Linked DNA regions of Sus scrofa. The protein of the gene in region 2 interacts with the protein of the main gene of each other region in a pairwise test. Links are inferred from orthologs where the notes say so. Each region holds a gene or a part of one and is shown on either strand. Other genes may lie near its edges. The genes, in order: SNX22, DVL3, KLHL12, PITX1 and LNX1.

Region 1 (5,827 bases), on a different chromosome or scaffold from region 2:
GAAGCTGATGACTGGCCTGTGGCACAGCTGTGAGCTAAAAGGAAAAGAGGTCATGAGCAGTGCAGGGGTAGGTGGAACAAAGCCTCAGAGTAAGGACTGAGATCACCAAGGACCCACCAAGGAAAAGTGGCAAGTGGGAGTTCCCGATGTGGCACATCGGGTTAAGGAGCCAGTATTGTCTCTGCAGTAGCAAGAGTTCACAGCCAGACACAGCAGTGATAGGTCTCAAAAAAAAAAAAGGAAAATGGGAAGTAGGACATCCCCTAGCACATGGCCACGAGAGGGCAGCAGAAGCCCAGTGCCAACAGGGTGTTTGACTTGCCTGCTGTTGTCAGGCAGGAGCTGCCCCAGGGTGCTGAAAAGGAGAGAGGCTGTGAGCTGCCTGAGGGAGGAAGGCAGGGTGAACCTGCGGAAGCCCAGAACCTCACCTCCCAGGGGACCACTGCTATTTGTAACAAGCTCAGTTCCGGAGGCAGCTGGTGTAACCAACACTCTCCAGAAAACAGCCCCTCCACCAGGGTCATGAAAGCCAACAAGGGAGGTCATGTCTCAAAGAGGAAAAACCAGGCCTGGCAGATGTGAGAGGGAAAAGGGCTCGGCCTCTAGAGCCTTTCCTCACCCGCTGGCTGCAGAGAGCCCCTGTCCCCCCAACTCTGAGGCTCCTCTCATGCCAAGCCATGGTCCCTAGAGGTGCTCACCCCCAGCTGCTGGCCTTGGGGTCTGTGGGGAAGTGCCGAAGACTCAGGAATTCCAGTAGTTCCTTGGGCACATCCTGGTTCAAGTATAGGATGCCCTGGAGAAGAGAACAGAGAAAACCCGTAATCAGACTCTGCCGTGTCATGTGTGCAGCCTGGTGCAAAATGAAAACGTGGGGGGCCTTCCAAAATGATAAAGAATTTCTGTGGTTGCCGAGGGGGAGGGAGTGGGATGGACTGGGAATTTGGGGTTAATAGAGGCAAAGTTGCTTTTTTTTGTTTGTTTTTTTCGTCTTTTTTGCCATTTCTTGGGCCGCTCCCGCGGCATATGGAGGTTCCCAGGCTAGGGGTCTAATCGGAACTGTAGCTGCCAGCCTACGCCAGAACCATAGCAACGCTGGATCCGAGCTGCGTCTGCAACCTACACTACAGCTCACAGCAAAGCCGGATCGTTAACCCAGTGAGCAAGGGCAGGGACCGAACCCGCAACCTCATGGTTCCTAGTCGGATTCATTAACCACTGCGCCACGAAGGGAACTCCCCAAAGTTGCTTTTGGAGTGGATAAGCAATGAGATCCTGCTGTATAGCACAATGAACGATATCTAGTCACTTGTGATGGAACATGATGAAGGACAATGTGAGAAAAAGAATATATACATATATATGTGTGTGAGAGAGAGAGTCTGGGTCACCTTGCTGTACAGTAGAAACTGACAGACCACCCTAAATCAACTATAATGGGAAAAAAAAATTTTTTTTTTGTCTTTTTGCCATTTCTTGGGCCGCTCCGGCAGCATATGGAGGTTCCCAGGCTAGGGGTCTAATCGGAGCTGTAGCTACCAGCCTACGCCAGAGCCACAGCAACGCGGGATCCGAGCCGCGTCTGTGACCCACACCACAGCTCACGGCAAAGCCGGATCCTTAACCCACTGAGCAAGGGCAGGGATGGAACCCGCAACCTCATGGTTCCTAGTCGGATTCATTAACCACTGCGCCACGACGGGAACTCCGGAAAAACATTTTAAAAAGTATTTCTGGACAGTGAGAGTAGAGCATTAAACCAAGCTTGGGGCCCTCCCAAACACTGGCCCTGGATGACTACACAGCTTGGCTCATGAAGCCAGCCTGGCCTGTAATGTCGCATAACCATGTGGGAAAGGAGAGGGAGGATCTCCACCCTATATCAGGAGGGCAGCACAGGATCTCACCCTGGAGATGAGAACTAGCTTTCATTTAACTGGGACCACCTGCCTCCTGATTACCTCACTCAGTCCTACCAATTCACAGGTATGTTTGGACCCATTACTGTTTGGAAATTTGAAGTAGTAAATAGCAGGCCCCAAGAGTTCCCACTGTGGCCCAATTAGGTTAATAATCCAGCATTATCTCTACAGTGGCTCTGGAGGCTGCTGATGCGCAGCTTTGATCCCAGTCTGGCACAGTGGGTTAAGTATTCAGCATTGCTGCAGCTGTGGCTCGGAACTTCCATATGCCACAGGTGTGCCCAACACACAAAAACAAACAAACAAAATGCCCCAAATGTGGGATCCTTCACCCCATGCCCCGCACCTCTGCATGCAGCAGGCTGGGGGGCAACAGAGAGAGACGCACGCACACCTGGATATAGGCCTCCAAGCCCTGCCGCCGCTGCTCCAATCCTCTGGTCCTCCAGTTGGGCAGGCGTTTCGAGGGGAAGTCGGGAACTCTGTATAGTTTCTTGATCTGCCAGGTTACCGAGGTGCGATCACAGCATCCCGACCCAGCCCTCATGCTCATTTCATCCTAGCCAAGACCCCTTTCCAGTCCTCCCCGCCATGCCTGCACTCCCAAACTTCAGGCTCTATCCTGAGACATACCCGCGTGGTGAATGGTGGATGGGACAAGGGCGAGAGGCGCCCCAACCTGACCCTTCACCCCCAAAACGCCCGACAGCGGGCTGGCTGCGCCAGGGCACGGACAACAGAGGCTGGGACCTGCCCCTTTGCGCCCATCCCGCAGCCCGCAGGGGTCTTCAGGGCCTGGGGCGATAATGGGGATGGCAGAGACTGGGGCCTGCCAGCTCGTCTGCCCGCCTCCCAGAGGGTGGGCAGGAGCTGGGCGGGGTCGGTCGGTCGGTTGCTGCCTCACCCGCTTGTGCAGCGCGTGGAACTCGCTGTAGCGCCTCTGCACGGTATGTCTGCGCCCGCGGCACAGCACCTCCACTCGGAACACCTGGCGGGCGCGGGCAGGCAGCCGGGTGCGCATGAGGCCGACGGGAGGGCGCCGCTGGACCCTTGCCCGGCCACTCGCCCACCCTCCGCCCTCAAAGGCACAAAGCGGCGGGAGCGCTCCGCTCTTCAGGGACCCTCCCACGCTCGCACACACTCGGGGACTCGGCTCCATGCGGTGAGCCCCTCAAGGGCCAGGACCACTGTCCGCGGGGCTGGCAAATCCGAGCGGCCCGGAGACCCTTACGAAGCTGCCCTCGACAGCCTGGCCCGCTGCGTTCGGACGCCCGAGCCCCAGGAGCGGGGTCCCCTTGCGTTCGGCGCAGGGAAATCTGGCGGGTCCCTGTACCCCTTCCCATCCAGTGCTCCCGCTCACCATGTGCCCTCTATCGGGGCTCTGCCGGGTCCCCTCGGCCTCGGGTCCCACAGAAGGGATGTGAACCTGCAGCATCCGCGCGCTGATTGCCGCCGGAACTCTCTCGGGGCGGACTGGAGACCCCAGTGTGGCTGGCCCCGCCCCCACGTTAGCCCCGCCCCGGGCGTTCCCTCCTGCCTCCGGGTCCTGCCGGGGGCTGATTAGACCAGGTCCGGGGTGGGGGCGACGGGAGGCTAGAGCCGCTCCCTGAGCCTAGTTGGGCCGCAGGGCGTGGGGACTCTTCGACAGAGAGTCATCCGTTTAGTACTATGTCCACACTCGCTGAGCGCCCACTGATGACCAGGAATGGGGGCAAGCCAAAATTTCACCTGCTCTTGAGCCGCAGGAAGGGCTAGGGCCCGTGGACGGCTGGACAAGGAGGGAGCCAGGGCACAGACCAACCAGGGACATTTCTTGGCGTTCCTCACATCCTTCCCCGGGGTCAGGCTGCCCCCCTTCCAATCCACTTTACTCCAACTTCAGCCTATACCCCGGGAGCGTGCTGGGGTAAAGTTGGTCGCACTCTGGCTTTGATGTTCCCCGCCCCAGCACTCATAGGCCCACTCCATTCTTTCATTTTAAAAATCCGTTCCTCCATTCATTCGTCTTTTAGCCCAAGCTGCATCAGGTCGGGGAGAGGCAGTTTAGGGACCAAATTCAAGGAAATTCAGACACCTTGCATTTCCCCAATTGTGGAAAGCACAGTAGGCCTGTGCGCATTGCAAAATCTGGATAATATGCTTCCCTCAGGAGAGGGCATGAAAATTGAGATGATTCCTGCTAAGCCCTCAGCAAAGCAGATGCTGAGAAAAATCGCAGTTTGTGGGCCTGTCCTGGAGACATTGTTGGGTGGTGTTGGTGTACAGGACAACCTGGTAGGGAGAGGGACTGTGGGAGGTGGCGCCGGGCTGATGTTGCCCACTCTTCTGACAGAGCTGTTGTGAATATGCGGCAGGATTTAATCCAGAACTCTCACCTCCTGAGAGGGGCCTCTGCCCCCATCCCTCAGCCACAGCTACCCCTGCCCTGGCTATGGCCATAAGGGAGCTGTTTCATCCAGCATAGGCCTCCACTCCACTGACTCCTCTATGGTGGGAAGGAAGAAGCAGAGCACCTGAGAAGTTGGGGTTGGGGGATACCAAGTCAGTCCCTCCCCTGCTAGTGCAGAGGTGCTTCTGAGCTGGAGCAGAAACTCTCCATTCCCAGCTCTGCCCCCACAGAGAGGCTGAGAGGATGACCCGAAAGGAGGCAGGCAGGTCTCGCCAGTACTATGTCCCCCCCACTTTTCCCCCCAAATTCCATCTCACAAGGGCTCCAGAATCAGGAAGCTGAAACTTCCTGGAAGGGAAATGACCCCCCATGAGGAGAAGTGCTGAGCTTTCATTTCCTCCCTTGACGTCTATAGAGCCCCACAGGGGCCCTGCTTTCCTTGTCTGCTGTCTGGGAAGTCCTCTCCTGGGCCCTCAGACCTCTAAACTTCTTGATCACCCAGCCTACTGAAGGTCTGCCCTCCGTCTCTATCCCCACCACCCAGAAAACTGCCAGTTTCCTAAGGGATCTTGCTGCTTTTCCTTGCCTTACTCCCTCTCCACTAGAGCACAAACTGTCCAGGCACCTGCTTAAAACTTGCAAAGGCTTCATATTGTGCTGAGAACGAAAGCCACCCTCCCCACACTATCTCGAGCTCTAAACGACCTGGCCCAGCCACCATCTCTCATTTCATTTTCTCTCCTCCAGTCTTGTGCAATGGGGCTCCAGTAGCAGGGACCTTCCTCCAGTTCTTCAAACCTAATGAGCTCTTTCTACCTCAGGACATTTAGTTTATTTTTATTTATTTATTTATTTTTTTGTCTTTTAATCTTTTCTAGGGCCGCATTCGCGGCATATGGAGGTTCCCAGGCTAGGGGTCAAATCGGAGCCACAGCCACAGCAACACCAGATCCGAGCCGTGTCTGCAACCTACACCACAGCTCATGGCAATGCCGGATCCTTAACCCACTGAGCAAGGCCAGGGATGGAACCTGCAACATCATGGTTCCTAGATGGATTCGTTAACCACTGAGCTATGACGGGAACTCCTACCTCAGGACATTTATACTCTTTCCTGACAGTTCACCTGATAGGCTTTGCCTAAAACTTCCAATTCTCAGCCTAAAACTCACCTCCTTAAGGATGCCTTCCTTCCTGCCCACCCTCTCAAAGCCCGCTCTCTCTGCACTTAATCCCAATATGGAGTTTCTTTTGTTTATCGTATGTCTCCCTGGTTTCCCCAAGTCAGCCCCAGACTCAGTACCATCTGACCAGGGATGTGGTCTCTTGTCAGTGGTCGCCACCAGGGTGCCAAATATATAGTAGACACTCAAACACGTGTTGAATGAAAGACTATATGAATGAATGGCGGAGGGGGTGTTGGGCAAAGGCTTGGAAGAGAAGGAAAAGCCTGGGAAAGAGGTAGGAAGGGAGCAAGGGTTGCTGAAGCTGTATAGGAAGGCCAGCTGAGGGTAACAAC
Region 2 (5,602 bases):
CCTCCTCCATTTCCCAAATAACTGAAGAGGGTTGGGCCTACCCTGAGCTTGAGGAATACTTCTGGAGACCAGATGGGAGTTAGGAGTCCTCAGGCCTTACATACCAGAACCCCCGAGGGTGAGCCTGGAGAGGCTGAGGAGACGGCAGGCTTCCTCCTCTGACCCACCTTCCCATCTGTCAGCAGGGGTTGCTGGCTTCTGCCCAAGCCCCCCTCTTGGGCAGAGGGATAAATGGCAGCCCCATCACCTTTGCAATTTGCCAAGGCTCAGCATCTCCCTCAGAGACAACATACTTATTAAATGGTGATGATAATAATAATACTGACAACCTTAGACTGTGAAGCCAGGTTCCTGATGGTGAATAAAACTCTGCCACTTAGAGTTCCTGTTGTAGCGCAGCAGAAATGAATCCAACTAGGAACCATAAGGTTGTTGGTTCAACCCTGACCTCACTCAGTGGGTTAAGGATCTGGCGTTGCCGTGAGCTGTGGTGTAGGTCACAGACACAGCACGGATCTGGCATTGCTGTGGCTGTGACATAAGCTGGCAGCTATAGCTCTGACTGGACCCCTAGGCTGGGAACCTCCATATACTGCAGGTGTGGCCCTAAAAAGACAAAAAAACAAAAAACCCCTCTGCCACTTATTAGCTGTGTGACCTTGGGTAAGTTACTTAATTTTCTGTGCATTAGTTTTCTCATCTATAAACTGGGGGTATTACTACCTATTCCTTAGGGTTGTTAAGAGGATTGAATGAGTAAAGATTTGAAAGTCATTTAGACCATGTTGCACACTGTCAGCACCACAGAGAGTATGATAAATAAATGAAATATATATATATATTCCTCAGCTATTAGTCCTCTGTGACAAGATAGCCCAATCAGGTCTCTTGCTCATTACTCCTTCTGGAGCTAAAGACAAAATCAATCTCTACTTTGCTTTTACTATTGTTCGCAACCATGCTAAAATGGCCTACTCTAATATTTTACATAGGATGGTTCAAGTTCAAGTACCACTGATGAATGCAAGATGGCTTTAGGTATACCTGAATGAATGTTTAATTCGAGTTAAATATTTATTTTTAACATATTTTAGAAAGAAATATAAACAGCAAATCAGACCTGTGGTTCATATTGTTGATTTGGTCAAACGAAGAAAGAGTGAGTGGACTGACAGCGTATTTAAAGAATATTAAATCAACAGTGAGAGGATGAAATGGGGACCCCCTGTGACTACAGTTAGGCCTGGCTTGACAGCAGTCTGGGGAGAGTGGGAGACAGCCCACAGAGATCTAGGTTTAGGAGGTAGGGGTTAGGCCCAGTGGGCTCTGTGATGAGTAGGGAGTGGAGACACAGGTTTGACCTAGTCCCTCAAAGCACCTGGCCCCAGTGCACTGGACTCTGGCTGATTTTCCCCTATTCCATACCCTGAGGCAGTATTTTAGTCTCTTCGAACTCCATTCTTCTCTTACCAGGCCGAGGCGACCACACTGCCCCTCCCTCACTTCCACCCCTTGCCGATAGATCGATCCCTCTTCAGAATCTTCCAATCAGAGGTGTCTATCTCAGGACTGAAGCCAGACAATCATTACTACACAGGAGTACCCACCCCAAGGCAGGAAAAACAACAACAACAGGAACAAGAATAGTTAGAAGCTGCATAGCACTTCCCACTGTACAAAGCACTTTCACACATATGATCTCACGGGCTCATCAAACCCAGAGTTCCAGGGGGAAAGGTGACAGCAAAACACGCCAGGCAGAAGACAGAGAAGGTACCAGAGCCAGGAGGGCGGGGGTCCTTGGAGAGAAGCCAGGCTGATGAACTCTGGGGAGAAGAATGTCTCCCCTCACTCAGCTCTGGGCCTCAGTTCCAAAGAGCGGTGTAGGCCTCAGGCTACCGCTGGAGAGGCGGCCTTCAGGCCTGGAGGGCCCAGGAAGGCCTTCCCCACAGGCCTCCAGGCCCAGTGCCCAGTTAGTGTGGGGTAGACTAGTGTGGGGGCCTCCCCCTCCCCCAGTCCCCTGGGAGTTGGGGGGTGGTGAGGGGATCTGCCAGGCTCCCCCTCCCAGGCCAGCTGCTACAGAACCTTCCGGGCTCCAACATTCCATCCCCTCTTAAAGGGGAAGCCACTGCTTCCAAACTCCTCCTGGCCAAAGCCCTGCAGCTGGGTAGAGAAGACACCCCCCACCCACCCCCACCCCAGGAGGGAAGATGAACACCAAGAGAACCTTCCTGGCCCTCTGGTCCAGACTCCGAGGCCCTTTCTAAGGTCTCCCCCTTGGTCACCATCTGGAGGAAAAAGGCCTTGGTTCTGCCAGGAAATCAGCACCTGGGCTAGTGGGGACGCCTCAGGGTTGAGGCACTCTGCTCCCTGACAACAGCCCCAACAGCCCACAAGGGACAGGGGACACAGCTAAATAAACATTAGGGCTGCAGGCCTTGGCTTACAGCCTGAGCACCCCCAGCCAGTTCAAAGTCCCACAGCATAGCCCTTAGACGTGGGTTACTCCAAATATGGCTCTCAGTTGTGGAGCTGAAAAGATGGAGAAGGGGAAGGCGAATACCAAACACCCCGAGTCTCTACTAGCGAGGTGGCTCCGTAGGCAGGAGGAGGGGCTGGGGACTGTGCTCTGGCACCGGGTGGAGGGGGGGTGTGTCTGTCTGTGTGGGCTGATGGTCTCTGAAGAGGTGAAGGGGCTTGACTGGGCTGGAACTGATTGGTCTTAGGGAGTTGGATGTTTGTTCCCCCTAAACGAGGGGGCCAAGGTCCCCCACAGGAGGGGGTAGGAGAGTCCCTAGAGGGCTGGAAGTCCAGCCTCTCAAAGAGCCAACGGGGACCAAATGGCCGAGTCTCCTCTAGAATCCAGAGTAGGGCTAGAAGCCAGTGGAGCAAGGGGAGTCCAAACTGGCGGAGTGGGCCCCTAGAAGCCAGAGGAGCCGGGGTCCCCCGGAGGCGAGGCGGGGCCATCCTCACCCGAAATCGTCGTCCATAGACTTGAAGAAGAACTTATAGCTGGGTCGCTGCAGAACGCCCTTAAAGTCCGCCAAGGTGACGCGCTCCGCGGGCAGGGGCAGCTTCACCAGATACGGCGTCTCCTGCCCATCCAGATGGTAGATGATCTTCGTCTCGCCCATGGCTCCGGCCTCGGGCCCGGCGGCCCGCGCGCTGCCTGCTCGGGCGGCCGGGCCGGGCCTCTCGGGCGGCGACGGCGCTCGGCGCGGCCCAGCGGCTCAGCCCAGCTCCGCGGCCGGCCGCGGCGCCAGCTCCCTTGTTCTCCGGCCGCTCCCGGGTCCCAGCGCCGCCTGCTGCCGTCGCGGCCGCCGCTTCCGCTCCCCACTCTCCCGGCTCGGCTGGCGACTGCGACTCTTCCGGTGGCCGCGGCCCTCCAGGCTCTGGGCAGCGGCCCGGTCCGCTCCCCTCCCCCGACCCCGGCGCGGCTCCGCCCCGGCGCGGCCCCGCCCCCGGCCGCCGCCGAGCCGCGCTGGCTTCGCGGCAGATGGCCTAGCCCTCCGCCGGACCCAGCGGACACCCCGCCCACCCTCCCGGGGGGTGGGGTGCACGGCTCCCAAGCTCCCATCCCAGGCTCGTGGGGAGTGTGGAGGCGGCCGCCTAGGCCCCCACAGAGGAAGACATATCTTTCCAGGATGGCTGTGTTTCGGAACTCTTCAAGGCCCAGGCTCTGGACCCAAGGGAGATCGGCTGCTCTTCTGCAGCTGGGGAGGAATATAATGCAGGGGTGGCTTCGCTTCCCAGAGAAAGGGGGGGTGTAAGGCCGCAGTTCTGACCATGTATCTCTGTAAGAAAGTGGCCTCGACATGGCCTTTTGGGGTCTATTGAGCAGCATAGATGCTGTCCTTGAGTCTACCAAACTGAACTTCTTGTGGACAGAACAAGAGTTCTGATTCCCTCTTAAAACCTCAGTACTACCAGGTGTAGTGTAGTGATTTAATAAATGGATTGAATGCAGAATGAGTATAAGAATGAAGATGTGTGTCTGACTGGGACATGAAGTCTCAGACCAGAACTAGGTATAATTCATTCCTAACATCTTCTTACCTACTAATGTGCAAGGCATACTTAGTGATCTATAGCAAAACAAGACAGACAAGGTTGCTCTCACGACCTTCACTCACTTGGACGGAGGCACAGAGCCTTGTGAGTAAGTAACTTTAGACTGACAAATGCTATGAAAGATAAAATGTAGTCACGTAACAGTGTAGAAGAATATGGGTGGTCAGAGAAGGCCTCTTCCATTTGCGTGAAGACCTAGAACTGACAAGGAAACAGCTATAAGAAGGTCTGGTCTGGGGGAAAGAGCATTCCATGTGGAGGGCACAGCCAAGTATAAAGACTCAAGGCAAGCACAGACTTGCCAGAAGTTCCCTGATGGCCTATCAGGTTAAGGATCCGGTGTTGTCACTGTTGTGGCTCAGGCCACTGCTATGGTGTGGGTTCGACCCCTGGCCAGGGAACTTCCGCATGCTAAGGGCATGGCTGAAAAAAAAGAATCAACTTCTGAGAAACAAGATGAAGGTTATTGTGACTACAGTGATTGTGGGAGATGGGTGGAAAGGTAGACTGGGACCAGATTACATCAGTCCTTTAAGATGACAGTAACATTTTGTTTACTGTTGCCAACATAGCATTTCAAGATTAAGGACCTCTTTCAGACACCTCTGGCTCAGAAACCTCTCCACATTCCTTAATGCCTTCCAAATGTCCTTAGCGTGATAGTCCAAGTTCTCCATTCTAACCTCTACCTACTTTTACAGACTTCTGCAATGCTGAATCCTTTAACCCACTGAGCCGGACCAGGATGGAACCTACACAGAGATATCTCCCATCTCACACCACAGCAGGAACTCCTTGGCTAAAGTTTTGACTTAAGCAATTCTACTTATTTGCTAGCCCCTGCACATTATCTTATTTATTTTCATACCCTTTCTTTTTTTGTCTTTTTAGGGCTGCACCTGCAGCATATGGAGGTTCCCAGGCTAGGGGTTTAATTGGAACTACACCTCCCAGGCTACGTCACAGCCACAGCAACGCAGGATCTGAGCCGAGTCTGCGACCTACACCACAGCTCATGGCAATGCCGGATCCTTACTTTTTCTTTACTTTTTTATCAAGGTAATATGTGTACACAACAATTGCAGAATTGTTCTCCAATTATTCCTTTTCACAGCACATTATTCACAGATACAATATCTTCCCTGAGTTTTGAGAATAGTACCTTCTCCCCTCATCCTAAAGTTTTCAAAAAGCTTCTTACCTTGTCAGTTTCCTTGGTTTGAATTTTGTTTTGGTCTCTGCTTTTCATGTTAGAAATTTCCTCAAATGGTTACTGATCCTTAACAGTCTATTCACATTTAAGAGTGAGATAAGAAAACTCTGGAAGCTTTGTCCACAGACAAGGCTTATTTACTAGCAGGCTTCACTGCAGGGTGATCAGTCGGGGGAAATTTTTTTTTTTTTTTTTTTTGTCTGCTGTTGTTGTTGTTGTTGCTATTTCTTGGGCCGCTCCCGCGGCATATGGAGGTTCCCAGGCTAGGGGTCTAATCGGAGCTGTAGCCACCGGCCTACGCCAGAGCCACAGCAACGC
Region 3 (5,526 bases), on a different chromosome or scaffold from region 2:
TTCTCTTTATATTTTATAAATCTTTCACCTTTTTAAAAAGTTGTTTGGGGAGTTCCCGTTGTGGGCAGTGGAAAATAATCCGACTAGGAACCATCTGAGCCACGTCTACGACCTACACCACAGTTCACGGCAACACTGGATCCCTAACCCACTGAGCAAGGCCAGGGAACAAACCCGTATACTCATGGTTCCTAGTCAGATTCGTTAACCACTGAGCCACGATGGGAACTCCCAGATCTCAGCTCTTGGAAGACGAGTGTGGTGCTCTCCTCTGCCAGCTCCCCAATAGGCACCTTAAAATTTCCTCGGCAGCCCCCATGTCTTCAGCATCTTGCCAGGCTTAATATTTGCCAGCACTACCTTTTCTTGCCAAGCCAAACTGTTTCTCATTCCCTTTGCTAATGGCTTGTCCTCCGGGGTCAGCACCTTTTCCCAAGTGAGCCTCCCTACACCTACACAGCTGCCCCTCTCATCTGCAACGACTCTGAAGGCAACCCGGGTGGAACGAATACAGACTTTCCTCACACGCTGTCAGGAGGAGTGGGATGAGGACTGAATCTCACTCCTCGTGCCTTCCCCTTCCTGGTATGCAGGTGAAAACAGCAAACTTGAGAAGGAAAACAAATTAAAAAAAACAATAAGTAAACCCAGGAGCTGACAACTGTGTTTTCCTCCATGCTAGACATTGTTCTAAGCACATTATAGGAAATTTTTTCCACTAACTGTCACGATAAGCATAGGCTCCTGTGTATTACTTCCCAGTTTCCTTCCCTAACTGAAAGACAGGGAACTAAGGCACAGTCAAGAGGCAGATCTGATCCAGAGTCTGCCCATTTAACCGCCACTCTGTTTAAATTCACTGTCATGTCACATTTCTACTATTTTATTCAGCGAAGTGAGGCAACTACAAGGTGATGTGTGTGGGCTCCACTTGTGAGGAGATAACTTACCACTTACCTCACTGGTGAACATGGCGCAGAAGTAATCACTACAGGCAGCCAGCACAATCCGATGGGCAGGGAAGTCTTTCTGTTCTACTCTCAATGTCACATCACAGAGGGTATTGCTCTTCCTGAGGGAGTTCATTGAGTTGAGGATGGATTTAGCATGAGTGTTTGTCATTATGTCTTTGGGGGCCATAATGCCTCCCATCAAGCAATATGGAGAAAGGATGAAAGGGGTCCTTGGATGCTGCAACTACAAGAGAAAAGAAAAACAAGGACCATATTTGAAGGAATTGGGAAGCTAAACATACTGTTAGCTCTACAAATTAAGGAGGCTCCATCAGACTCAAAAATCTTCAAGTAGGGAGCTCTCCTATTCCTGGCATTACGAATACAATTTAGCCACTAACTATAAATAAAAACTAAAATAAATATAATAAAAAATAATAATAATTATAAATAAATAAATAACAAATAATAATATAAAAACTAAAATAAAACTAAATAAAAATGATCTCTTCTTCCTCTGAATTCCATAATCATCAAGTGCCCCAACCATTTGACAAATACTATGATCAATACAACTGCATTATAAGTGGAAAAAAACCCTACATTTCCTGCATATCTTCACAAGGCTGTTGTCTCACGTGACAAAATGAAAAGACAGAATTTCTTAAGGGTGTGATATCATTGTTTTTAATATCCTCAAGTAGATTAAGTAGGTAAATATTTATAGGGTGGGGATTCTGATTTATATATTTTTTTCTTTCCCAGAAAATGTACAATAAATGTTTAGTAATAGAGTGCAAGAAAAGAAAAACTGTGTATTCAACCTAGAGCAATAAAGATCAAGTATTAGTGAAAATAAACTTTTTTCTAAAATAATGCAAATAATTATTTTTGATGACTTTCAAATATATCCGGATTTCTTCAAAAAGTGAAACTTCAAGTGAGGACCCGATACCTATACTGAACAGTGGAATCCATGCACACTTATCTGTGGACTTCCACTAAAGCTACTGAAGCTCTTCTACAGAAGGGGCTTCCCACTCTACATTAGTTGCAAAGGTTCAGCAAAATTAACAAATCGGTATTTGTATTTCTATACTGAAAGAGTGACTTACTAGGATAGGACCTCTGCTACTAATTTCACTGCCATAGCCAGTCACTTGTAAAGTTCACCTGCACATACCAATTAAATGAACTAAATAACAGATTACATCTTAACAAATCAATATAAGAAGTACTTTCCTGATTGACAGGCTTTGGTCACACTAATTTTTTTTGCTTCAAAAACAGTTTCTGTAGAATGAATGGGGTGGTTATTAAGAAAGCCTATCTTATGTAGGCTCCAGAACTTTCTGAAATGATCCAAGGAAAAAAAAAAAAAACAACTGGTTTTCAAGAGTCCACAACTCACAACCATAATTTGATATGAAAGCAAAAACGAGATCCTAATTTCTCATCTACTCCTGTTCATAGTTAGCATATTATTCTATAGGCACTCTATGTTATCCGTCCAACAACTCCGCAAGATCCATTTTACAGCAAAGCATACGATGTTTTTCAAAAAGGTCGTCCTTGAGTCAATGCAGTTTCAACTCCGGAGATGTGAGAAAGGTCTGCACAGACGCCCGTTTACCGTGAAGACCTTCGGGGTGGGGAGGGGATGTTACGACAGGGCTCACCTGTCAAACGGACTCGACCCCAACGCGGCGCGGTCTCTCTGCCGGGGTACGCAGGGTGCGCCCCGATCCAGGGTTGACCTAGCCCGGGCTCCAGCGAGTTCCCTAGAGGAGAGGCTGCGCCGCGGGCTGGGTCAGATTCGGGGCGGGGGAGGGGGGCTTGCAGGCTGGAGAGCAAAGCGGAGTCCTCCCCGACAGCTTCAGGTGGAGGGCGAGGCGCTCGTCGCCAGGACACCGCCCGGCTGGGAGAGGCCGACCGGGAGAAAGGGGACGGAAAGGCGCTAGCCGCTGCCTCCGGGCCACTCACCTGCGCTCTGGCCCGCGGGGTGGGCGCGGGGCTAGCGGGCGGCTCGGGAGGAGCCCAAGCACCGCCGCCCCGACCCGAGGCCGTCCCCACCGTCGCCGCGCGCAGTGATGACGTCACGACCACCCAGCGTCACGTGAGGGGCCGCGTCACGTGACCCGCAGGTGTGCGGGGCTAGCTCCAGAGAACACGGCGGTGCAGGTCCCCACCCGGTGACTGGTCCAGATGCTCCGCAGGTCCCCAGGCGCGGTGGACTGAGAGGATTCCAGAGTTTTCGAAGCTAGAGAACTGACTGCAGAGAGTGTTTACCTGACAGGTATTCAGGAACCCTCTCACATCAAGAAAACTCACGGAGGCTTCCAGTGTCTTCATGTCCATTTTCCACAATGGCCTTTTCGAGCTGTGATGAGAATCCTCTGAGCCCTGCGACCCTGGGACCTCAGCATTCTCTGCATCACAATCGGGCCTCAACACCCCTGGGTGTTCTCTGCTTCTTGCACTTCAGGACAGTTTAGTGGAAGGAACTCACGGCCCCTCCGAGGGAGATTCCGAAGGGTCTTCTTGCAAGTCCCAGGAATCCTCATCTCCCCTATTCCGATTCTGCTGCCTTTCACAAATCTCGGAGGCTGAGTGTTGTGCTAGTATTTTTGCTTCTGTTTGATTTTGGTACACTTATCTCAGTGGCTCAGAAGGGAATGAGGTTCCTTGATTCAGTTCATGCGAATGTCCAAACCAATTGTGTTTGATTGTATTGTTTTCCTTTTGAGGGGGGCTTGATTCTTTAGGGATATTAAAACTGTAGCTAAGTGGGTAGCAATCTAATTTTACAGTAGTGTCTCCATCTTTCATATCCTATCTCTGGTCTAAAATTGTCTCTGATTTGTATATTGTGAGTGCAGGATTGGTACAAGTTTTATTGGGGGCATCTTGGAAAAATTCACCAAAATGATGAATGCATATATATATATTCCTTAACAATGATCTTTAGAAATTTGGAGTTCCCGTCGCGGCTCAGTGGTTAACGAATCCGACTAGGAACCATGAGGTTGCGGGTTCCATCCCTGGCCTTGCTCAGTGGGTTAAGGATCCGGCGTTGCCGTGAGCTGTGATGTAGGTTGCAGACACGGCTCGGATCCCGCGTTGCTGGGGCTCTGGTGTAGGCCGGTGGCTACAGCTCCGATTGGACCCCTAGCCTGGGAACCTCCATATGCCGTGGTAGCAGCCCAAGAAACGGCAAAAAGACAAAACAAACAAACAACAAAAAAAAACAATGATCTTTAGAAATCTATCCTTTGTATATACTCACACATGTAAAATGATGTGTGTGCAAGGTTGTTTGTAGATTGGATTGAAAACAAGGGTTTTTTTGGGCCTTGCCTGTGGCAGGTGGAAATTTCTGGGTGGGGAATCTAATCTGTGCCCCAGCAGCCACAGTAGTGACTACGTGGCATCCTTAACCCACTGCACCACACTTAAGGAACTCCTGGATTGAAAACAAGGAGTTCCCATTATGGCTCAGCTAGTTAAGAACCCGACATAATCTCCATGAAGATGCAGGTTTGATCCCTGGCCTCTATTAGTGGGTTAAGGATCCAGTGTTGCTGCAAGCTGCAGCGAAGGTCGCAGGTATAGGTTGCAGATGCGGCTCAGATCCGGTGTTGCTGTGGCTGTTGCATAGGCCTGCAGCTGCAACTCCCATTTGACCCCTAGCCTGGGAACTTCCGTATGCCACAGGTGTGGCCCTAAAAAAAAAAAAAAAGAAAAGAAAAAGTTTAATGCCCATCTGTAGGGGACTGGTTCACTAACATATGGCACATCCATACAACCCAATACCATGAAGTTGTGAACAGTGTGTATACTTTGCTATTAATTGTGAAAAAGTTTGGGAAATATAGTCATATTTGCTTGCATGTGTATAAAATGCATTTTATAGATACAAAATAAAGCAGTAACATCACTTTCTTGGAGAGAGTAACTGGTGAGTTGGGAGACAGGATGGGAGGGAGATTTTTCCCTTTATGTATTTTTAGGCCTTTTGAACTTTGTTTTTTTTTGTTTGCTTGTTTGCTTTTTAGGGCCACACCCTCAGCACGTGGAAGTTCCCAAGCTAGGGGCTAGAACTGGAGCTGTAGCTGCCAGCCTGCACTACAGCAGAGCAATGCTGGATCTTTAACGCAATGAGCAAGGCCATGTATTGAATCTGTGTCCTCTTGGATGCTAGTCAGATTCGTTTCTGATGAGCCACAACAGGAAGTCCAGGGCCTTTTGAACTTTGCATTATGTTAACTAAAAATATGTATAATTTAAATAAAAATAATCCTTTGGTTTTTGGTTGCAGAATCTTTGATGATGTGGCTTTAAAACTGAGTTCTGGCTTCTAAACTGAGTTTTTCCAAATATGAGCAGATACTTAAGAAGCTTTGTTTGGAGTATGCCTGCCCCTTTTCCAGAGAGTAAAAGTGGAGAAACTGCAATCAAGAAAGCCAGTGCACTGAGTTCCCGTCGTGGCTCAGTGGTTAATGAATCTGATTACCATCGATGAGGACTCAGGATCGATCCCTGGGTTAAGGATCCGGTGTTGCTGTGAGCTGTG
Region 4 (5,651 bases), on a different chromosome or scaffold from region 2:
AGCTCCAGACTGGCTGGTGGCTGAGAAAGAGGCAGGTGAAGAGTATCTTAAGGTTTTGGAGAAACCGACTGCAGATGGGACCACTGCTCCAGGAAGTTTTGAGACATCCCCCCCCCCAGGCCTAGGCTCTTATCCGGCCTCTCTCAAGCTGCCAGGCAGGACCTGCCTTTCCCTTTCGTTTTCTCGGGAAGGTGCCAGCTGTTCCGAGATCGCCAGCGCGGGGAATCCTCTGCGCAGTCTAGGGCGGCAACATCCGAGGGGGGCCCCGGACTCTACAGGGCTGGGGAAAATCCCCTGGGGCCACAGGTCTTTGGGCGAGGGGCTGCGGTAGAGCCGGAGGGTCACATAGGATGCGGGTCAGAGGGATCCGAGGCGGCAGCAGCCGAGGCGCGCAAGCACCAATCGGCTCAGCGGCGGCTGGGTAGACCCCGGCCGGATCCTCCGGTGGAGGGAGGGAGCAGGTCTAAGTGGTGGGACAGAGGAATAGTCTGAGCGCCGATCTAAGCGTTCAAGGGCTGCGCTGGACCGGCGGCAGCCTTCGGCGCCGGTCCCCTTAAGGCACACGCCCTGCGCTCACCCGCACGCGTGGCTCGGTGAGGTTGGTCCACACAGCGATCTCCTCCCGCATGCTCATGTCCGGGTAGCGGTTCCTCTGGAACGTGGCCTCCAGCTCCTGCAATTGCTGACTTGTGAAGTGCGTGCGTTGCCGCCGCTGCTTCTTCTTCTTGGCGGGGTCCTCCGCACCGCCGCAGCCCGCGCCGCCCGCACTGCTGTCCTCGGGCCCCTTGGGCTCCCCGCTGCGCTCCTTCTCTGAAGCGGGCAGGATGGGGCATCGGTCACGTCGGGCTTATGCCCTTCTGCACCCCGTCCCGGCTCCACCGAAGCGCCGGCCTTCAGCGGCCGCCCTCCCGCCAGGGGCCCTGGAATTGTCCCCATTAGAAAGAGCCCGCCCGTGCCGGATATCAGTAGTCACCTCTGGCCCGGCTTGTCTGGGAGAAGAGCCCAGGAGTTGGAGCCCTGGGCCTAGGTCCTAGCTGGGCAGGGCCTGCTCTCACAGCTCGGCTCCTGCTCGATCCCTACTGCTGATGTCACTGGCGAATGTACATTTTTAGGGTTCTTGGAGTTCTAAGCCAGAGGGGAGCTCTGCTTTTCTAGGCAGAGGGTCAGATCTTTCTAGCCCGAAGTTGAAGTTATCCGGTTGGCAGGGCGAGAGCCAGGAAGTGGTTTGCAGGCTCTCCACCCTCTTTTCCCCAGGGCTGTGTGGGAGTCCCACCGGGCAGGCACTGCACCGCCGGTTCTCGGCCTCAGCTCCAGGCCCCACGTCTCAAGGCCCAGAAAATCCCTCTGGCGGCAGCCGAGCAGGCCAGACCCACAGGCTCTAAGTGACCCTGGGGCTCTGCCTCTCTCTCTTTGAAGCTACACAAAACACATGCAGTCATAGAAACATCGAAGCATAAAGAAAAAGAATTTAAAAACAAAACACAGAAGCCTAGGAAAGCTCACAGCTCTATGCCTAAAAACATTAGAAAGGGTCACACACTCTTAAAAATAGGCAGGTAGAAACACAGCAAATGCAAATTAAGAAGCCAGAAACCTCCGTGCAAACACATCCCTAACTAAATACAGTGCTGTACGTGTATAAACTCCAGGCAGACACCGGCATTTATTTATCTGGGACTTAAAAAAAAATCAAGGTACTGTTGTAGATAGTTTTTTTTAACCCCTTCCCAAATAATGCTCTTCTAGAGGTAATTTTTAAATCCCAGAGAAATACAACACTCTAGTTAGATAAATTCCCCAAATCACACCCCTGTAAATGGACTTTGAGAAAATCCCGGACAAACGCGCCATTTTGGATTGAATTTTTAAAATGTCTCGAAGAATAACGTTGCATGCAGATATTTTAAAATTCCGGAGAAATGTACTTAGGATAGCAATTCTTTCTATACTGAAAAATACAGTTAAATTTTAAAGTTTATCCTCATAGACTTGGTTGTTAAAAGCAATCTGTAACGATTTCTCTGAGCTTTAACAATAAAAACCAACCCAAGCCCACGCCTAAAACTTTTGAAAACAAAAGTACAGTCCAGCGCTGCTTACTTTTTAACCAAGCAACAGAACCTCTCAGAGAAAGTCACTTAGGGATGCAAAACAGAAACAAATAGAGATTAAAAACGCGTAGAGAAACACTCAGCGGTGGATTAAGAAATGAACGCAGAAGAGGCGCCCGTAGCCGAGAGAGCAGGGAGCTGGGCGGCGGCGCGGAGTCAAGACCGCGAGCGATTCCGAGACTCGGGAGCCGGGACCGGGCCGGGTACTAACCTCGCCACGGCCCGCGCCGCCCATCGCCGGCCCAGCAGCGGCCGGGGAATAAAGCTCGAGCCGGGACAAAAAGGTAGCGCGGAGGGAGACGTGCCTGAGCCGAGCCGGAGACCTGGCTGGGCGGCCTGGCGGCTCCGGGCTCCGGCGGCGCACGTGGGGCCGGGATCCCTGGCTTAGGGGGTCCTCGCCGGAGCCGGGCCGAGCCCCTTGGCCCGCTCGCCCTCGCTGTCCTCTCCTTTTCTGTGACCTTAGGTTGTTTCTCTTACTCCCTGTTTGCTTTTCTCACTTTTCCCGCCACCCCTGCTCTTGGGTCTCTCCCTCTCGCAGTCAGTCGCCCACGGTGTGTCGGGGTGTCAGTACTCTGCTTTCCTGGGCACTTTCTTTCGCCCACCGCCCCATTCCTTTCTGATCTGCTCTTCGCCTTCGGTCTGAGCGACCCGGGTCACCCAATTTCCTCCCCCACCCCCGCCCCGTTCTATTTGCTCCTGATCAAGAGGGGCTGTCAGTCCGACTCTCCGGTCGTAGGTTTATGCATCTGCCGGTCACTTGGCGCGTGGGGATCTCATGGAACTGTTTTCGGAAAGCACTAGATTTCTGTTTCTGAAAGTGTGTACATTTCCGCGTTCACCCTCAGGTACAAAACGGGAAAAGGAAAGATCCCGACGCTCCTGGGGTGTAGAGCGAGCCTGCCTGCGCGGCGCGGGTGCCAGGCCCTGCTCCTGGCTCCCTGCGCCCTCCTGCGGAGTAGGCTCCGTGCGCGCCTCGCAGACAGCCGCGCTTACCTGGCAGCTCCGTGTCGGACGACTCGCTGGCGGAGTTCTCGAGAGGCTCGCGGGGGTCGGCAGCGCGGGCTAGGTGGAAGGCGGGCCCCATGTCGTGCGGCGGCGGCGGCGGCGGCCGGAGCCCCTCCGGCAGCCGCTCCAGACTCATGCCCCCCTTGAAGGCGTCCATGGAAGCGGGGACCGTGGCGGGCGCTCCGGGGGCCGGGGCTGGGGGCACCCGGCCGCCCTGGCTGCGACCTGCGAGAACGAGAGCGCAGCGTCTAAGCGGCTGCCCCCCAGGGCTGCCCGCGCCCGCAACGACGCCGCGCCCGCCCCATGGACCGCCCGGGGCTGCGGGGCCAGGCGGGCGGCAGCGGCAGCGGTTTCTCGCGACCGGGGGCCCGGCTTCGCGCTCCGCGCTGCGCTCCCGCCGCTCGGGCCTCAGCCGCCCGCCCGGCCCCGGCTCCGGCTCCCGATCCGGGGCCGGTTTCTAAGGCTCCGGACCGCGCCGGCAGAGCCTGTCTTAAAGCGACAGCGCGCACCGCCAGGTTCCAGCAGTCCCTGCGCCAGGGGTGGTGGGTGGGGTGGGCCGGGGTGGGAGGGGGCAGGGAGGGAGGGAGGGAGGGAGGGAGGAAAGGAGCAGCGAGCGAGGGAGCGCGGGCGGAATCCAGCCCCGAGCCGCCCGCGCCGCCGCGCCCTCTCGGCCGCCCGCCCTCCCTCCCTCCCTCCCGGCCTCACCCGCGCCCTCCCCCTCCGCAGCCACCTTCCCGCCGCCTCCCCCCTCCCGCGGCCTCGCCGCGCCTCACCCTCCTTCCCCCCGGTGACACACCGAGTTCTCCCTCGGCCGCACAAAAGAAACGCATCTGGCCTGCAAGCCCCTCGCGGCTCGTGCCCACCTCAAGCCCCAAATGACTTGTTTCGCTCGAAATCAACTCCAGTCTGGGCCGCCTCGAAGTCCCGAGTCCCCGGCGAGAACAGCCCAGGCCGAGTGAATGTTCACCGAACAGGATCGCACCGACCGGTCGCCGGCGAGCCAGCGCCAGGGCGGGGGCAGAGCCCGGGGCTCGTTCCGGCAGCTCCCAGCCGCGTCCTCGTCCAGGGGCCGCCGGCCCCTCCTTTCCCGGCCTCTTCTCCCGGGACCCGAGCCAGGCTGAGTGACAGCAGCCCGCGCTCTAATGGGCCCCCGGATGCTGCCTCCTAATTAGCTTGGACCCTCTCCCCCAAGGCGGCTTGCTTCTCAGGCCTCCCCCCTCTGCACCACAGTCAATTTTCCGGGATTGGGATAGAACTGATGGCTTCTAATCAGACGAAACGTTTCTGTTGGCTCCAGGCCGCTGGCGAGTGCAGCAGGAGACCCCAAGAGCCCTGCCAGGCCCCACATCCCCTTCGAGAGGACTCTCTCCTTGTTTCGCCCTTTCAGAGGGCTCACCGAATCTGCCTGGCTCTGGCCGTGGCAACCACGGGGTGGGCCTCTGACCCCCTTCAGGGCAGGTTCCCAGGGCCTGGGACCTCACTTTGGCTGCCCAGAACTGCAGGCATAGACCTGGCAGGCCAGGTGACTACAGTTTGCAAACCTAGGCCAGCAGCCCAGGAAGCCTGGGATGGTCTCGGAGTTTGTCTCCTGGGCCTTGGTCGCTAAGCTGCAGCTCCATTGGGCCCTCTCTGAGCACAGGCAGAGATGGTCCGCTTCTCAGCCCGAAGAATCAGTCCCTCCCCAGTCCTCCTACCTCAGGGAAGTTTGGTGAAGGCTTTTGCTTAGCAATGGGTAACTGGCCCTGAGATGTCAGAGTCTTGAGCGAACAGGTGACAGCTGGGGTGGTAGGGTGTGACCCTGCTCTGTTCCTCTGGCCACAGCTGGACCCCAGGCTGCCCTCTGTGTCTCATCTCGGCCCACCAGTTCCACCAGGCAGAAGCAGCACTGGGCAGGATGGCGGGGGTGGGGGTGGGGGGGCAGGACTTGTACTCTCCAGGCCCAGCGCGCCTCACCCCGGGGCCCAGTGTACACTCTGGGTCCTCCTGGGGACTCTGCTGGGGAATGGCTGTGCAGACGCTCTGCGGCCCCTGCCCTCACCCGGCTCCCTGCCAGAGGGAGGCACCTCCACCCCAGCCTGAGCTCCTCCTCGGTGAGGATTGTGGGGGCGGGGCGGGGGCAGGGTGGAAACAGGCCTGCCTCTCCCTCCCTTGGTCTCAACCCAAGGCCCCCAGCTCTGGCTCTGGGGGGGAGAAGGCACACTTCCTTGGGTGCCTGTGAACACAAGGGGCCTGGACTGAGGCTGGGGCCAGTGGGAGGATGCGTCCCAGGAGTTTGGGTTGGGGGAAGGCTTCAGCAACTCCTGCCCTGTCCTCCCCAAGGGAAGGTCCTCTAAGTTGAGACCCCCGGTTTTGGTATAAGTGTTGGGGGCGGTGGTGAGATGGGGACACAGACGCGGGGAAGTATGGCTGTCCAGCCTTGCCCTCAGCCCCATCTTTTAGCACGTTTCTTGGCTGAATCTCCTGAAGCAGCAGCTACCCCCTTTCAAGGAGGTTTTTCTTTTCGGGTGCTGCAGGAGGCCGGGGGTACCTCTTCAC
Region 5 (5,571 bases), on a different chromosome or scaffold from region 2:
GGATGTACTAAGTAGAACACAGCATCACTTCTGTGATATTCTTGCCTAAGTTGTAGAAATGGAATCTAAGTGTAAGGAAATGCAGACAAACCAAAGTGAGGAACCTTCTGCAGAACAGCTAAGCCTCTAATTTTAACAAGTGTCCGGGTCATGAGGGTGGAGGAAGTATGGAGGGAGGGCACCATACTGGAGCAAAGACATGTGACCACGAAAAGCAATGCCTGATGCTACAACGCTCTTTTGCTAAAAGGCAACTTGCAAAAACCTGAACTGGTCTGAGGCGCCAGTGACAACAGATGCAAACTTTCTGGGGTCGGAGGATTAGATAATAGCAACATAGCAACATTAACTTCCTGATTTTGTGGTTGTGTTAGAGGATGTCCTTGTTTATGGGAGATGCACACTGAAGTACTTGGGGAAAAGGAGGAACTTTTTTGACAGCTCATTCTCAAAGGGATCAGGAAAAAGACAATACAGAATTCTTTGCCCAGGACTGTACATGCAACTTTTCTATAAGTTTGAGATAAATATATCTTCGTCTATTCTATATCCATATCTGTATCTACATCTACATTTGGGTGGATAAAGCGGGAGTGGTTGCCTAGGGGCAAAGTCAGGGTATATCTGCCATATGTCAGTTCTCGGCTAAAGTGCTAGAAATGTGCATTCTCACTCCACTCATTTAGTAAAGAATGGACAGTTTCCCAAAAAACTAGAAAGAGAGAACACAGTATCTCTAGGGCTGGTCATGCCAGCCACTTGGCTTATCTGATAATGGGCTCATCTGCCAGAACTAAGAAAGTGGGGACATGGAGGCCCCTTTGTCCTCCCAGGAAGTCTGTGGGATAACTAAGGGCCAGTTCGTCTATTCATCTGGCACATGATTTGTGTTGAGGATCCTATGTTCCTTGGAAGCTTGGTCTAAAGTTCTAGTAACAACCACCATTGCCTATGGGGTACCTTCTAAAGGTCCAAAACTGGCTGGGAGAGGTGTTTCATGTGTTCTTTTTTTTTTCTTCTTTTTTTGCTTTTTTTAGGGCTGCACCTGTGGCATATGGAGGTTCCCAGGCTAGGGGTTGAATTGGAGCTACAGCTGCCAGCCTACACCACAGCCAAAGCAATGCGGGATCCGAGCCACATCTGCGACCTACATCACAGCTCATGGCAAAGCCAGGACCTTAACCCACCGAGCAAGGCCAGGGATCAAACCCACAGCCTCATGGTTCCTAGTCAGATTCATTACCACTGAGCCACAATGGGAAGGAACTCCATGTCTTTTTTTTGTGATGATCACAGTGGGTCTCCATGTTAAGTACTGTCCATGTCAAGTACTGTCCCCATCTTCTAGTTGAGTGAAAAGGCTTGGAAAGGCTTAGAAACAAACTCATTGTTATGGGCTGGATGATGTCCCTTCAAGTTTATATTCTAAAGCCCCACTGTATCTCAAAAAGTGGCTGGATTTGGAGATGAGGCATTGAAAGTGGTGAGTAAATCAAAAAGGGGTCCCTAGGGTGAACCCTAATCCAACCTGATTGATGCCCTTCCCAGAAGAAATTTGGACATGCAGAGAGACACCAGGGTGCAGGTGCAAAGAGGGATGACCACGTGAGACACAGTAAGAAGGGGGCCCTCTGCAAGCCCGGCAGAGTGGCCTAACCCTGATGTTGGACTTAGAGCCTCCAGAACTTTAGAAAGTACATTTCTGTTGGTGAAGCCACCCAGGCTGTGGTCCTTTGTTATGCAGCCTGGCAGACTAACACAGTCATACCACGCATCTGGTGGGGCTGAAGTTGCTATTCAAAATCAAGTCAGTATATTATAGGAAATTAAACATTTATATAAATACTCAGAAATATATTTTAAAAAAATCAAATCAGTATAGCTTTGATGCAAGCCACCTTACTACAACAGGGCTTCTGCCATGAAACCTCTCCTCCGACCCTCTCCCTTCAACAGACCGCCCAGGACACTCAACCAAGTATCCTTAACCGATCCCTCCTCTGTGACCTCACAGCACTTAGCACACTGCCTATAGTGGGTTACACACAACTAACCCATAATATTGTGGTCCAGTTGAGGGTAGGGCTCCTCTCCCATGGAGCCAGGTACATGGCAGTTAAATAGTTAGTATGAACTGAGCACTTGGGTGCCAGCAAAGATTTCACATGCATCATCGCATTGACATCTTAAGACAACCCCATGAAATAGGCATCACCACTGTTCCCACTTTACGTGTCAGAAGACTGAGGTCACAGGGGTTATCTGAGTCACCCCAGGACACAGCTACTAGGCGGTAGAACCAAGAGTCATATCCAGATGGTCTACCTTCCCAGTCTGCTCAGTACCCCCTCTGCTCCTCCGCTGCCAGTCTTGCTGTAAATGCTCACTCCCTCCCTACCTGGGGCGGCCAGGGGACAGGGGGAGGGGTGCGCTGATCTGCATTGCTCTCCCTCAATATAAGTCTGCACGTCACGCTAAGCCTGGTGTAAGGCTCCCCTCCCATGGAAAGCCTTCTCATAAACAAACTCCTCTCCCAGCTCCCACTCCTTCAGCACCACCTGGGCATCCAGTCTGCCCTGCGCCCTGACACGTGACCCAGAGTTGGGCACATGGGCCAGCGCTGATCAACATCTGTTGAACTGGAGTCAATGCCTATGGAGAGAAGCAGACAGGGATATACAATGCGGTGGCGTATTGGACTAGACCCCGTGACTCTCTGTTTCTGGATTGTCCAGGGGAGTTCCTTGCTCCGGTTCCATCCTCTCATCAGATCGTGTGCTGGGAATGTGGCAGAGAATGGAGCCTGGTATTTGGTTTAGAGAGGAGAGTCACTAGTCTGCTGAAAAGAGGCGGAGCGGCAATGAGATGGACTGTCTCACCTCCTACCTGCTGCTGGGCAAGTCCACTGCTCTGGGCCTCAGTTGCTCTGTAGGTGAAAGTGCAGTGATGATGCCTATTTCTACTGCCGAAATGGGATAAAATGCGTGAATGTATTTTGAGTATTGATGACGAATAATGTCACAGAAACCCAATCATTATTAGTGGGATTACTTATGATTTACTGACTTGCTTGGCCAGTAAAAAAAAAAAATTTACATATGTATATATGTAGTTTTTATTTTTGAAAATAAAAGAAGAGGTGTCGTGAAGAATGCAGAAAAAAAATAAATCAAGCCTAAAGAGAGCAAATATCCTGAGGCCTTTCTAGAGTGTTTTGGAAAAGACAGACCTAGATATCTCTAGGTTCTCAACATCTTGGGTGTGTGTGTGTCTGTGTGTGTGTATGCATGTGTTTGCGTGCAGTGCAGTGGGGGTGAGGGTGGAGGCTGGGCTGGGATAGTCTGGGGCAAAGTTTTCTCCAATTGTCTGATGCCACCCTCTGGAGGAAGAAGGCCTCTTACCTTTGCTGTGCTGTGAATCAGTTTCCAGCCAGGTAAGACCTCTTGGTACAGTCCATTTGGGAGCTAAGTTTTTCTGACTCAGCAGTAGCCCAGAAAAATACTCTTCCTCTTTCCTGTGGCCTGTCTTCCAGACACGCATGAGAACCACCCCGCTTTGCAGTTCATCAGCTCATCCCAGGCCCCGTCTGCAGGCTTTGCACAGAGCTGATCCATCAACCAGGGGAGAGAGGCCCCCGCAGAACAGCCACCCAGGAGCATCGGTAACAAGTCTGCTCTGGTTTGCATGGGGCCGAGGCCCCCTCCAACTTCCTCCTGCTCTCGCCAAAGCCAGGATCCTTTTGTTCACCTTTAGAGCTGCCAAATCAGACCTACCGCACCCCTGGATGTTGTTTTCCTGCAGGCAATGGGAAAATGAGCTTGGAACCAGGGAAGGGAAATCAACAAGGAAATAAACACAGGGTCACTGCCCCTCCAGGTCAGCACCAGGCTGGGACATCATCATGCTAGGACCACTTCCTGAACAGGCGGGAGCTGGCCACTGCCTGGACGGGTCTCAGAATCCTGGGCATCTTTTCATTTTTAAGTCTGCGAAGAAGCGTGCCTCTAGCTCAGAAGCATGAAATCTATCTCAGACAAATCAAGCAGTCCTGACTCGCTCCGATGCCTTGCCAAATCTTTCAAAGATTTTCCATAGGCAGCATCTCTCGTAACGGAACACTGGCAAATGTTTTTAGACAAAGAAAAAGAGGGAGCGAGTTCATGGCTGACACTAGCTAAGACTTTTAACGATATAGATAAGACATTTAAAGATACCCTCTAAAGATACAGGATTATCGTTTCAATAAGGATTTCTTCTACCTACTCTTCCAGGTCACGGTCATCAGCAGCGGCACTGTCTTTGCTTGCTTACTTCACTTATGGAGACTTTACTGTCAGCTGGGTCCTGGGCTAACGACCTCCCCTGCATTATTTCATTTAATCCTTGACATAAGCGTATAGTTCTCATCCCCATTTTGTGGATGAAGAAACTGAGGATTAGCAAGATTAAGTCACTCCTGCCAAGTCACCCAGCTGGTTAAAAATGTAGAAATTGCCTTTCTGGAAGGGTGTTCTTCTAAGCCCTGTTTTTCCCGCCTGTTGGCTTAGGTACTTCTGTGGTCTGACAGCTCCGGTGGTGGCCAAAGAAACTCTTCGATCTGGGAATGGAATTCTAAACAGAACCACAGATCATCAGCTAGCTAAGCGGTCTTGCCCTGGAGTTATGAATCGGTGCTACCTTTCGGTAACTTGCACACAGAACACACCTAGCCCAGGGACCCCTGCCTCTTGCTAATCCACGGGGGCACTGCTGGCTGCTGTCACCTGGCTGTCCACCGTGATTCTTTTTTTTTTTGTCTTTTTGCCATTTCTAGGACTGCTCCTATGGCATATGGAGGTTCCCAGGCTAGGGGTCTAATCGGAGCTATAGCCTCTGGCCTACACCACAGCCACAGCAACATAGGATCTGAGCCGTGTCTGCAACCTACACCACAGCTCATGGCAACGCCGGATCCTTAACCCACTGAGTGAGGCCAGGGATAGAACCCGCAACCTTGAGGTTCCTAGTCGGATTCATTAACCACTGAGCCACGATGGGAACTCCTCCACTCTGATTCTGATCTACCTGTAAGGAAGTGCCCTATAAATTTCGTGGCTTTCGTGTGTGCTTCAGCCTGATCACAAGTTCATCTTTTTAACTTAGAAGCCTAACAGTTAGGAGCTTCTTTTCATAAGTCATCCATAAGCTGAGCGATTCTATCTCAGCCTGGAAACGTCTGCTGGATGCAAAGAAATCGGCAAGTGTATTTTCAGTCTCAGGTCTACTGCAGCTTTTTTTTTTTTTTTTTTTTTTTTTTTTTTTTTTTTTTTTAAGTATGAGCACTGGCCTCCTCTTTACTTCCAATTGTTAGCATGGAGCTCCTGTGCAGTTACCCAGGCAGCTGGCCTCTGGGGTCAAAAGAAAGTAAAACCTGTATTTATTTATTTATATTTATTTATTTATTATTAGGGCTGCACGTGTGGCATATGGAAATTCCCAGCGTAGAGGTTGAATTGGAGTGACGGCTGCCAGCCTACAACACAGCCACAGCAACACAGGATCCGAGCCATGTCTGAGACCTACACCACAGCT

What was found.
Region 1: the proteins of DVL3 (region 2) and SNX22 interact in binary tests that used the Homo sapiens proteins (3 or more experiments, as listed by UniProt). The two-hybrid records come from large-scale screens. The link is inferred for Sus scrofa from reciprocal best matches to the Homo sapiens genes DVL3 and SNX22.
Region 3: the proteins of DVL3 (region 2) and KLHL12 interact in binary tests that used the Homo sapiens proteins (3 or more experiments, as listed by UniProt). The two-hybrid records come from large-scale screens. The link is inferred for Sus scrofa from reciprocal best matches to the Homo sapiens genes DVL3 and KLHL12.
Region 4: the proteins of DVL3 (region 2) and PITX1 interact in binary tests that used the Homo sapiens proteins (3 or more experiments, as listed by UniProt). The two-hybrid records come from large-scale screens. The link is inferred for Sus scrofa from reciprocal best matches to the Homo sapiens genes DVL3 and PITX1.
Region 5: the proteins of DVL3 (region 2) and LNX1 interact in a two-hybrid assay, tested with the Homo sapiens proteins (2 studies listed by BioGRID and IntAct). The link is inferred for Sus scrofa from reciprocal best matches to the Homo sapiens genes DVL3 and LNX1.

What each region holds. Positions count from the first base shown.
Region 1 is NC_010443.5:107,894,127-107,899,953, forward strand, and holds the start of SNX22 (sorting nexin-22), read right to left. Parts: upstream 3,431-5,827; 5' UTR 3,355-3,430; coding exon 3,280-3,354; intron 2,908-3,279; coding exon 2,824-2,907; intron 2,419-2,823; coding exon 2,314-2,418; intron 794-2,313; coding exon 699-793; intron 356-698; coding exon 323-355; intron 35-322; coding exon 1-34. UniProt on the Homo sapiens protein: May be involved in several stages of intracellular trafficking. Interacts with membranes containing phosphatidylinositol 3-phosphate (PtdIns(3P)).
Region 2 is NC_010455.5:122,073,649-122,079,250, reverse strand, and holds the start of DVL3 (segment polarity protein dishevelled homolog DVL-3), read right to left. Parts: upstream 3,401-5,602; 5' UTR 3,135-3,400; coding exon 2,974-3,134; intron 1-2,973. UniProt on the Homo sapiens protein: Involved in the signal transduction pathway mediated by multiple Wnt genes.
Region 3 is NC_010452.4:24,899,070-24,904,595, forward strand, and holds the start of KLHL12 (kelch-like protein 12), read right to left. Parts: upstream 3,913-5,526; 5' UTR 3,312-3,912; coding exon 3,243-3,311; intron 3,053-3,242; exon of another isoform or gene 2,633-3,052; intron 1,198-2,632; coding exon 958-1,197; intron 1-957. UniProt on the Homo sapiens protein: Substrate-specific adapter of a BCR (BTB-CUL3-RBX1) E3 ubiquitin ligase complex that acts as a negative regulator of Wnt signaling pathway and ER-Golgi transport.
Region 4 is NC_010444.4:137,203,400-137,209,050, forward strand, and holds the start of PITX1 (pituitary homeobox 1), read right to left. Parts: upstream 3,274-5,651; coding exon 3,105-3,273; intron 811-3,104; coding exon 578-810; intron 1-577. UniProt on the Homo sapiens protein: Sequence-specific transcription factor that binds gene promoters and activates their transcription. May play a role in the development of anterior structures, and in particular, the brain and facies and in specifying the identity or structure of hindlimb.
Region 5 is NC_010450.4:40,436,762-40,442,332, forward strand, and holds the start of LNX1 (E3 ubiquitin-protein ligase LNX), read right to left. Parts: upstream 3,774-5,571; 5' UTR 3,402-3,773; intron 1-3,401.